Anolis sagrei: one gene and its partners. The protein of the gene in region 3 interacts with the protein of the main gene of each other region in a pairwise test. Links are inferred from orthologs where the notes say so. Each region holds a gene or a part of one and is shown on either strand. Other genes may lie near its edges.

The links.
Region 1: the proteins of YAE1 (region 3) and CEP126 interact in a two-hybrid assay, tested with the Homo sapiens proteins (2 studies listed by BioGRID and IntAct). The link is inferred for Anolis sagrei from reciprocal best matches to the Homo sapiens genes YAE1 and CEP126.
Region 2: the proteins of YAE1 (region 3) and LTO1 interact in binary tests that used the Homo sapiens proteins (3 or more experiments, as listed by UniProt). The link is inferred for Anolis sagrei from reciprocal best matches to the Homo sapiens genes YAE1 and LTO1.

Annotation. Positions count from the first base shown.
Region 1 is NC_090023.1:22,939,290-22,943,041, reverse strand, and holds the start of CEP126 (centrosomal protein of 126 kDa), read right to left. Parts: upstream 2,709-3,752; 5' UTR 2,539-2,708; coding exon 2,360-2,538; intron 1-2,359. UniProt on the Homo sapiens protein: Participates in cytokinesis. Necessary for microtubules and mitotic spindle organization. Involved in primary cilium formation.
Region 2 is NC_090021.1:266,672,657-266,676,408, forward strand, and holds the start of LTO1 (protein LTO1 homolog), read right to left. Parts: upstream 2,540-3,752; 5' UTR 2,404-2,539; coding exon 2,345-2,403; intron 1,776-2,344; coding exon 1,670-1,775; intron 1,414-1,669; coding exon 1,343-1,413; intron 1-1,342. UniProt on the Homo sapiens protein: The complex LTO1:YAE1 functions as a target specific adapter that probably recruits apo-ABCE1 to the cytosolic iron-sulfur protein assembly (CIA) complex machinery. May be required for biogenesis of the large ribosomal subunit and initiation of translation.
Region 3 is NC_090026.1:68,681,735-68,685,486, forward strand, and holds the start of YAE1 (protein YAE1 homolog), read left to right. Parts: upstream 1-1,126; 5' UTR 1,127-1,245; coding exon 1,246-1,368; intron 1,369-3,752. UniProt on the Homo sapiens protein: The complex LTO1:YAE1 functions as a target specific adapter that probably recruits apo-ABCE1 to the cytosolic iron-sulfur protein assembly (CIA) complex machinery. May be required for biogenesis of the large ribosomal subunit and initiation of translation.

The DNA of each region.
Region 1 (3,752 bases), on a different chromosome or scaffold from region 3:
GAGATTTTATACAGCTATGTGGAAAGGGCCTCATCTACACTGCCATATAAAATCCAGGTTATCTGCTTTGAGCAGGATTGTATGGCAATGGAGACTCATATACCCCAGTGCAAAGCAGATAATGTGGATTATCTGTCTTGATCAGTGTTTCTCAACCTTCCCAATGCCGCAACTCTTTAATACAGTTCCTTATGTTGTGGTGACTCCCAACCATAACATTATTTCCAATTTTAACTCTACATTTGGCCTCCCCACTGTTTTTAATTATGTGTTGTTTTATTGATAATGTTGTGTATCTTACTGGCTATGTGTTTTTTAATTGATTGTATTGTTGTTATTATTGCTTGTATTGTTGCGTTTGGGCTTGGCCTCATGTAAGCTGCACCGAGTCCCTTGGGGAGATGGTAGCGGGGTACAAATAAAGTGTTGTTGTTGTTGTTGTTGTTGTTGTTATTATATTACTATTATTATTTTAGTTGCTACTTCATAACTGTAATTTTGCTAATATTATTAATTGTAATATAAATATCTGATATGCAAGATGTGTTTTCATTCACTGGACCAAATTTGGCACAAATACCCAAATATGAATACTATTGAGGTTGGGGTGGGTGGGTTATTTTGTCATTTGGGAGTTGTAGTTGCTGGGATTTATAGTTAACTTACAATCAAAGAGCATTCTGAACTCCACCAACGATTGAATTGAACCAAATGTGGCACACAGAACTCCCATGACCAACAGAAAATACTGGAAGGGTTTTGTGGGCACTGACCTTGAGTTTTGGAGTTGTAGTTCACCTACAAAAATAGAGGGAGAAAATGTGGAGGCTGTGACAGACTTTGTATTTCTAGGTGCAAAGATTACTGCAGATGCAGACAGTGGCCAGGAAATCAGAAGACGCTTACTTCTTGGGAGGAGAGCAATGTCCAGTCTCGATAAAATTTTAAAGAGTAGAGACATCACACTGGCAACAAAGATCCGCCTAGTCAAAGCCATGATATTCCCTGTAGTAGCCTACAGATGTGAGAGCTGGACCTTAGGGAAGGCTGAGCGAAGGAAGATAGATGCTTTTGAACTGTGGTGTTGGAGGAAAGTTCTGAGAGTGCCTTGTACTGCAAGAAGATCCAACCAGTCCATCCTCCAGGAAATAAAGCCCAACTGCTCATTGGAGGGAAGGATACTAGAGACAAAGTTGAAGTACTTTGGCCACATCATGAGGAGACAGCAAAGCCTAGAGAAGACAATTATGCTGGGGAAAGTGGAAGGTAAAAGGAAGAGGGGCCGACCAAGGGCAAAATGGATGGATGGCATCCTTGAAGTGACTGGACTGACCTTGAAGGAGCTGGGGGTGGTGACGGCCGACAGGGAGCTCTGGCGTGGGCTGGTCCATGAGGTCACGAAGAGTCGGAGACAACTGAACGAATGAACAACAACATGTTATTGTTATTATTTATTTTTGTTTATGAGATTTATTTTACTGTTTTGTATTGCTTATTTTGTTACTGCCTTCGTTTTATTGATGTACTGTGGGCTTGGCCTCATGTAAGCCGCACCGAGTCCCTTGGGGAGATGGTAGCGGGGTACAAATAAAGTTTTATTATTATTATATTATTATTATAACTGCAATTTTGCTAATATTATTAATTGTAATGTAAATATCTGATATGCAAGATGTGTTTTCATTCACTGGACCAAATTTGGCACAAATACTCAAATATGAATACTACTGGGGTTAGGGGGTATTGAGTTTGTCATTTGGGAGTTGTAGTTGCTGGGATTTATAGTTAACTTACAATCAAAGAGCATTCTGAACTCCACCAACGATGGAATTGAACCAAACGTGGCACACAGAACTCCCATGACCAACAGAAAAGGGTTTGGTGAGCACTGACCAACAGAAAATACTGGAAGGGTTTGGTGGGCACTGACCTTTAGTTTTGGAGTTGTAGTTCACCTACATCCAAAGAGCACTGTGGACTCAAACAATGACGGATCTGGACCAAACTTGGCACAGATACTCAATATGCCCAAATGTGAACACTGCTGGAGGTTGGGGGAAAATAGACCATGACTTTTGGGAGTTGTAGTTGCTGGGATTTATAGTTCATCTACAACCAAAGAGCAATCGGAACCCCATCAATAGAATTGGTCCAAACTTCTCACACAGAACCACCATGACCAACAGAAAATTCCTGATGGTGTTTGGCGACCCCTCTGACACCCCCCCCCCCTCGACCTCCCTCCCCCCCCCCCCGGGGTCCCGACCCTCAGGTTGAGAAACGCTGGTCTTGATTATCTTGGGACCTTCCTGTCAGGCTGTTTCGGCCCCACAAAAGGCCGGCGGAGAGGAGAGGATACGGCGAGGAGGGGGAGAAAGCGGCCCAGGCCCGGCGCCCCAGACCCTGCGGCAGGGCGCTCTCCGAGAGGCCCTTCCTGAGGCCTTCCCCTTCGCGGCCTCGGCGCCAGGCCTCCGCCGCCCGCTCGGAGCCGCTGGAGGGGTTGCTGCCGCTTCTGCCGCCGCCGCCGCCGGGCTCCATCCATCCACCCCGCTCAGCCCGCCGCCGCCGCCATCGCCCTCTCGAAGGCCTCGCTCTGTCTTCCCCGAAAGGGAACCTCAGAACCAGGCGCCATCGTAGCAACCCGCGACGCTACTTCCTTCGCAACGGTAACCAAGGGAGACGGCGCGCGCGACCGGCGATTGGATGGAGCTAATCCAAAATGGCCGCCGGGAAAAGGGGCGGGGCGACAAGGAGGGGGCGGGGCCCGGAAGGCAGCCTTTCAAAACAATCCTAAGGCACTGGGTTAGCTTGCGACTGGGGCCAGCCAAAGTGTTTCCTTTGGACTTCATTTCCCAGAATTCCTGACCATTCACCCAGGTGACTGAGGCTTCTGGGGGTTGAAGTCCAAAGAAAACCTTGACAGCTACAGTTTTAAAGCCATGGTGCTCATCCAGGTTTTTTTTAAAAGACTTCATTTCCCAGAATTCCTAAACATTCGCCAAAGGGACTGAGGCTTCTGGGAGTTGAAGTCCAAAAGGAATAGTTCCCTATTGGGTTGTTGTAGGTTTTTTCAGGCTGTATGGCCATGTTCTAGAGGCATTCTCTCCTGACGTTTCGCCTGCATCTATGGCAAACATCCTCAGAGGTTGTGAGGTCTGTTGGAAGTAGGAAAAAGAGTTTATATATCTGTGGAATGACCAGGGTGGGACAAAGGACTCTTGTCTGCTGGAGCTAGGTGTGAATGTTTCAACTGACCACCTTGATTAGCATTTGATGGCCTGGCAGTGCCTGGGGAAATCATTCCACAGATATATAAACCCTTTTTCCTAGTTCCAACAGACCTCACTACCTCTGAGGATGCTTGCCATAGATGCAGGCGAAACATCAGGAGAGAATGCCTCTAGAACATGGCCATATAGCTCGAAAAAACCTACAACAACCCAGTGATTCCGGCCATGAAAGCCTTCAACAATACAATAGTTCCCTATGTTTTGTCTTCCAGAGTTTTCAGTTCAACTTCCAAAAGCACCAGCCAATTTAGACAACTGCCAGGATTTATGGGAACTGAAAATATTGGAGACTTCTGGGAGTTAAAGTTCAAAATATATTATTATTATTAATAATAATAATAATAATAATAATAATAAAACTTTATCTATACCCCTCCACCATCTCCCCAAGGGGACTCAGGGCAGCTTAGATGAGGCCAAGCCCAACAGTACAGCAAATATACAACATAAAATACAAACATT
Region 2 (3,752 bases), on a different chromosome or scaffold from region 3:
ACCCATTTTGAGGCAGTGAATGTATGCTTTTTGTGTGTAAATTGCCCTGAGTCCCTCTGGAGAGAGAGGGCGATATAGAAATAAAGTATTATTATTATTATTATTATTATTATTATTACATTATAAAACCTAACTTAGATCCTCTTGTTCAAGAAGCCAAAATCACCTGCAGCAATAATGATATCAGTTCAAGCAAGCATTATCTACAATGATTCAACTGAATATTTTTGCTGAGCTTTCTTAAAATATTTAAGAAGTGAAGTTTTCTATACCATGTTTCCAAAGGTCTAGACATAATACATAGTATGATTTAGAATACTGAGCAGGCACAGCAGCCAGTGCTGTCGTTTTTAGGCCTTAAGTCCAAATGCAAGGAAGAGTATTTATTTTATTTATTTATTTACAGTTCTTATATTCCGCCCTTCTCACCCCGCAGGGGACTCAGGGCGGATTACAGTAAACACATATATGGCAAACATTCAATGCCAGTTTGACAAACAACATTTAACAGACAAAGGCTATTTAACTTTTTTTTTTTCTGGCCGCCAGGGGAGCTGCTGCTTTTCATCGTCCATCAACGACACCGATGAAGTTCTTCCGCATTCCACATTCCCCGGAGTCTTCTTTCTTTATGGCCTCATAAATTAGTTAAATTTAGCCTCCCACACAAGGTGGTCCCTTTTTTTCCTACTTGACAGATGCAACTGTCTTTCGGGTTGCAAAGGTCGACAACGGGCTACACAATGGCTGGACACCCACTCCAGCCCGGGCTGGCTTCGAACTCATGACCTTTTGGTCAGAGTGATCTTAATGCAGCTGACACTCAGCCAGCTGCGCCACAATCCCGGTAAATAATGCTGTCTTCTTTAATTCCTCTTCACCCCATCTTGACTGTAACTCTCAGGCTGTGATTGACTGCACCTTTATTTCCTTTTCCGGTATTCTCTGCCTCTCCCTACAAGTATTTTTTGTCTTAATCCAAAAGAAAAATCACACATCTGAGGAATAAACCTATGATAAGGAGATCTGAAATAAACTGAGAAAATATTACTTGCTCCCTTATCATTCTCTTTCCTGATTGAAGTTTCTTGAGTGAACCTCCTTATAGTTACAGCATTTCCCTAACCCCACACACCAAGTTTCGTGAAAGTACAGGAAATAACAAGAAAAGAGTGAAGAATGTATACAAATAATACGCTCTACCACATCACTAGAACTAATCCCCTGGTTCAAAATCCCACTCCACAAGTGAATAAATTCCTATCTGGTTCATTGTGTGTGTGTGTGTGTGTGTGTGAGTGATAGAGAAAGAGAGAATATGAATGTATAGTTTCATACCTACCTGTGTTTTTCATCAGAACTGGCATTAAGCAATTTCTTCCATGTCACTGCAAAACCAAGATATGACCCAATCTATATATTTGAAAAAGAGGTATTTTTATTCTTATGTTACCAATACTAACAATATTACTTCCTCTCTAATAACAGCAGCTCAAGTCACATTTTCTTTTTAAAAACATCTTAAATAAATAGTTACACAAAGCTTAATTTGGATTAAATGAATGTGTTTTTACTGCCACAGAATTTCAATAAGGTCAATTATAGAACTGCAGGTGTTTAATTAACAGAGTAATATATCTCTCTCGCTTGAAACAAGATCAGTACATACTTCTAATCCAATGTTAGCCCCTTGCTGCACTCCATATTGCCTTCCTTCAATGACACCAGCATGAAGTCCTTCAGCATAGCCTTCCTGGTAGCCTTCGCCATGAAATCTATAAAGAGACACAATAGCCATGCATAAATACATGAGAGGAAGTCATAGGGAGGAGGGAGAAAGCTTGTTTTCTGCTTCCCTGGAGACTAGGACGCAGAACAATGGCTTCAAACTACAAGAAAGGAGATTCCATCTGAACATGAGGAAGAACTTCCTGACTGTGAGAGCTGTTCAGCAGTGGAACTCTCTGCCCCGGAGTGTGGTGGAGGCTCCTTCTTTGGAAGCTTTTAAGCAGAGGCTGGATGGCCATCTGTCAGGGGTGATTTGAATGCAATATTCCTGCTTCTTGGCAGGGGGTTGGACTGGATGGCCCATGAGGTCTCTTCCAACTCTAGGATTCTATGATTCTCTGGGCCCTTCCTCACAGCTATATAACCCAGAATATCAAGGCATAGTCCACACTGCCATATAACCCAGTTCAAAGCAGATAATGTGGGATTTTATTCAGCTGTGTGGAAGGGGCCTCTCTCTCTCTCTCTCTCTCTCTCTCCCAGTACAGAGGCGAAGGAGAAAGTTAAATCCAAAAGGCCCAGAGAGTAGGCCCGAAACCACGGTGAGCCCACGTACCTTGCCTCTGCCATGACGATGGCGTCGAAAGCATCCGGCTCAAGGCCGCCTTCTTCCATCACGGCTCCGCTGGACGGCTCCCGAGCAACTCTTCCTCACAAGCAGTCCTCCCAATCATGCGCAGAACGATGGACGGCACGCCGGAGGGATCAATCCGCAGGGCCGTTCTACGCATGCTCCGTAGAAGGAGCCGGCTTCCCCTCGTGACGTCAGGGCCGGAATCCGGAGAACGCGGTGAGTTCATTCCCTCCCGGCATCTTTTTCTCCTGTCGTTCCGCAGACATGCCACTGGAGGGCGCGCGTCCTCTGTGAAAAAAGAAAGTGGCGCCTTCTACAAAGTTCCTGTAGAGCAGTTTCAGAATGCAGATCACCTGCATATGAGTGTGTAGGCTCATATAATCCAGTGCAATACATCTATTTATTTATTTATTTATTTATTTATTTATTTATTTATTTATTTATTTACCAACCATACTTATATACAGCCTCTCTCAGCCCGAAGGCAACTCGAGGCGGTTTACAATCGGTAATCAATGTCACCAACAACATAAAATATAATTCAAAACATTAACATATAATACAGACCATATTTTATTTATTTATTTATTTATTTATTATTTTTTATTTCTCGTTTCAGGGCAACCAGTCAATTATATTACATTTCTAACAGAACAAAGCAAACAAACAGACAAAATACAAAATGTGTGAGTTTGGTAGTTGATTAAATCTCCTTTGACCAGTATCTGGCCACTTGGAGTGCCTCTGGTGTTGCCGCAAGGAGGTCCTCCATTGTGCATGTGGCTGGGCTCAGGTTGCATTGCAGGTGGTCAGTGGTTTGCTCCTCTCCCCATTCGCATGTCGAGGATTCCACTTTGTAGCCCCATTCCTGAAGGTTGGCTCTGCATCTTGTGGTGCTAGAGCGCAGTCTGTTCAGCACCTTCCAAGTCGCCCAGTCCTCTGTGTGCCCAGGGGGGAGTCTCTCATTTGGTATCAGCCATTTGTTGAGATTCTGGGTTTGAGCCTGCCACTTTTGGACTCTCGCTTGCTGCTGTGTTCCAGAGAGTGTCTCTGTAGATCTTAGAAAACTATGTCTAGATTTAAGTCGTAGACATGCTGGCTGATACCCAAACAGGGGATGAGCTGGAGCTGTCTCTGCCTTGGTCCTTTCACTATTGGCTGCTACTTCCCGGTGGATGTCAGGTGGTGCAATACCGGCTAAGCAGTGTACAGACCATATAAAAGCAGTAAAAGCACTAAACTGCATTCTGAGACTGCATTATTGGGCAGTGTAAATCCAGCCAAAGACTCATTGCAGAATTAATGCAGTTTTATACCACTTTAACTACTATGATTCCCAATGTTAGGGAATCATAGGAGTTGTAATTTCACAAAGTCCTTAACCTTCTTT
Region 3 (3,752 bases):
ATTTTGGAATAGTGTGAGGAGTTAAATACATTCGAAACAATTTTTTCAACTTATTTCGTAATTGTTTCGAAATTGTTTCGTAATTATTTTCACATGCCTGGTGCAAGTTTTATAGTTGTTGTTTGTTTTATCACACCAACAGTCAACAACAGAGGGAGAGGGAAGCTTTAGAAGTTCCCCCTGTCCCATTTGGAGGTTTTTTCAGCATATTTTTAGCATATTTGGAGGGTTTTTTTAGCATACTGCACAATCGCGTCCGCCATTAACGAATCGATTCAAAATTTATGAAATTTCGTATATTTCGAAATTTTTAAAAGGAAAATTTCGGAATTCTTTAAAGAAACGAAACGTGATGGACCCCTTAAAAATGAATCGAGTTTAGAAACAAATTTTTCCGTGGTTACCCAGCCCTACTCACAACAAAGGATTTTCCCAGGCTCAGCCAGGCCTTCAAATGCTAATGAAGGTGGTCAGTTGAAACATTCACACCTAGCTCCAGCAGAGAAAAGCTCTGTGCCCCACCCCAGCCATTCCACAGATATATAAACCCATTGTCCTACTTCCAACAGACCTCACTACCTCTGAGGATGCTTGCCATAGATGCAGACGAAACGTCAGGAGAAATGCCTCTAGAACATGGCCCTATAGCCCGAAAAAACCTACAAGAACCTAGTGATTCCAGCCATGAAAGCCTTCGACAATACATTGAGTTATCTGTGTCCACACTGCCATATATTCAAGCTTAAGGCAGAAAATGTGGGCTTTTATTTAGCTGTGTGTAAGGGGCCTTTATATTCTGGTTATATAGCTGTGTGGAGGGACTTTCTCCTACTCCCACTTCTAAAGAGGTGATACAGCATAGCCATGTGAGGAGAGGTCTGTAACAAATAGCTTGTACAGTATTATTACTTTCATGCAATTGTGCATTTTACTGCAGCACAGTACCTGATTAGAGAAGAGCTGCCCTTCACACTGGCTACAGCCATTTGGACACGATTTGGAAACGGAATTGCGACATATCACAACAAACAAAGGGATGCTTCCGCATCCGTGATGGAGAATACACTGGGCGAGAGAGCGCGCTGGGCCATAACGTCTTCCCTGCGCCGGAAGTGACGTCCTCACCCCGGAAGGAGTGCTTGGTCTTCTGGCCGGCTTCCGCTCGCTCTCGAGTCAACAAGGAGGCCTTCCACGGAGGGAGGCGTTGCTCGAGTAATTACTGACCTGCCTCTTTGTCAGCGGAGCATGTCGTGGGCGAGGGCCTTGCTGGAGCCCCGCGGCAGTGGCGAGGACGTCTTCGACGAAGAGGCGGACGAGCTGGACGTGGCTCAGAAGGAGTGGAAGAGCGCCATGGAGAGCCGCGTCAAAGTAATGGCGGGCAGCTGAGCGGCGAAGGCCTCGCCTGGCTTTGGGAGGCAAAACCAATGGGCTCCCCTTTCCTTCTCCTCCTCCTTCCAGTAGCAAAGAAGTTGTGTGTGTAATTTTGAACCATTGAGAACGGTCTCTACAGGCTGAGCCTCCCTTGTCCTGAATGTTTCCAAATCTAAACCTGTCTTCCAGGTGATTGAGACAGAGGGGCCTTCCACACTGCCATATAACCCAGAATAGCAAGGCAGAATAACCCACAATATCTGCTTTGAACTGGAAGATGAGCCCACACTGCCATATATCCCAGTTCCAAGCAGATTTCTTTATAGTGTCAGGGGCAACCAGACCATAATAATAATAATTACTATTATTATTATTATTATTAATTATTATTAAACTTTATTTGTACCCCGCTAGCATCTCCCACAGGACTCGATGCGGCTTACAAAGGCCAAGGCCTCAACACAACAATAGCAAAACAATAACAACACAATTTAAAGCAAATTAAAACATAAGCTGCATACTCTCACCCAACCTTTTTAACTTGTATGCAGAACACATAAAGTGATGTGCGGGGCTTGATGAATGCAAAGCTGGGGTGAAAATTGCTGGAAGAAACATTAACAACCTCAGTTATGCAGATGACACCACTCTGATGGCCTAACGCGAGGAGGAACTGAGGAGCCTTCTAATCAAGGTGAAAGAAGAAAGCGCAAAAGCTGGGTTGCAGCTAAACATCAAAAAAACCAAGATTATGGCAACAAGAATGATTGACAACTGGAAAATAGAGGGAGAAAATGTGGAGGCCATGACAGACTTTGTATTTCTAGGTGCAAATATTACTGCAGATGCAGACTGGGGGTGGTGACGGCCGACAGGGAGCTCTGGCGTGGGCTGGTCCATGAGGTCACGAAGAGTCGGAGACGACTGAACGAATGAACAACAACAACAAAAGCATCTCCCGAAGGACTCGATGCGGCTTACATAGGCCAAGGCCTCAAAACACAATACAACAATACAATACCTAAAGCAAATTAAAAACAGTTAAGCAGAACAAACAATAAACAATACATCGAAACACTATAAAACTGGGCCGGGCCAGAGTAATGGGTACAAGATTAAAAGTGCTGATGTGGCAGGAGGTATGTAGGATTATAAGTAAGTGCGGTGTGCAGTAATCTTAGTTCTACTAAAGTGCTTCTAGGACTTGGTATTGGAGGTTCCTAATCTGAGAAGGCACATCGGATCAGCCAGGTCTTCAAGTTCTTTCTGAAGACTGCCAGTGTAGGGGCCTGTCTAAGATCTCTTGGGAGGGTGTTCCAGAGTCGGGGGGCCACCACAGAAAAGGCCCTGTCTCGAGTCCCCACCTAGCGCACTTGCGACGCAGGCGGGATCACGAGCAGGGCCTCTCCAGATGACCGAAGTGAATGCGTGGGTTCGTAGACGGAGATGCGGTCACGCACATAGGGTGGTCCCAAACCGTTCAGGGCTTTGTAGGTAAGCACCTGCACCTTAAATTGGGCTCGGGAAATAAACGGCAGCCAGTGGAGCTCCTTGAACATGAGGGTTGACGTCTCTCTGTAATGAGCCCACAATATCTGCTTTGAACTGGAAGATGAGCTCACACTGCCATATATCCCAGTTCCAAGCAGATTTATTTATCGTGTCAGGGGCGACCAGGCCATTGTATTACATTTCTAACAGAACAAAACAAACAAACAGATAAAAAACACAAAGTTTGCAAGCTTGGTAGTTGGTTAAATGTCTTTTGACCAGTATCAGGCCACTTGGAGTGCCTCTGGTGTTGCCGCAAGAAGGTCCTCCACTGTGCATGTAGCAGGGCTCAAGTTGCATTGCAGCAGGTGGTCAGTGGTTGGCTCTTCTCCACACTCGCATGCTCCGAGCCCCAGGGGAGTGGCGGCATATAATTTCAAATAATAAATAAATAAAATAAAATATCGTGGATTCCACTTTGTGGCCCCATTTCTTAAGGTTGGCTCTGCATCTCTTGGTGCCAGAGCGCTGTCTGTTCAGCACATTCCAAGTTTCCCAGTCTTCTGTGTGCCCAAGGGGGAGTCTCTCATTTGGTATCAGCCATTGGTTAAGGTTCTGGGTTTGAGCCTGCCACTTTTGGACTCTTGCTTGCTGAGGTGTTCCAGCGAGTGTCTCTGTAGATCTTAGAAAACTATTTCTTGATTTAAGTCATGCTGGCTGATACCCAAACAAGAGATGAGCTGGAGATGTCACTGCCTTGGTCCTTTCACTATTGGCTGCTACTTCTCAGCAGATGTTAGGTGGTGCATTACCAGCTAAACAGTGTAATTTCTCCAGTGGTGTAGATAATGTGGGGGTTTTTATTTATTTGTTTGTGATTATTTATAGCC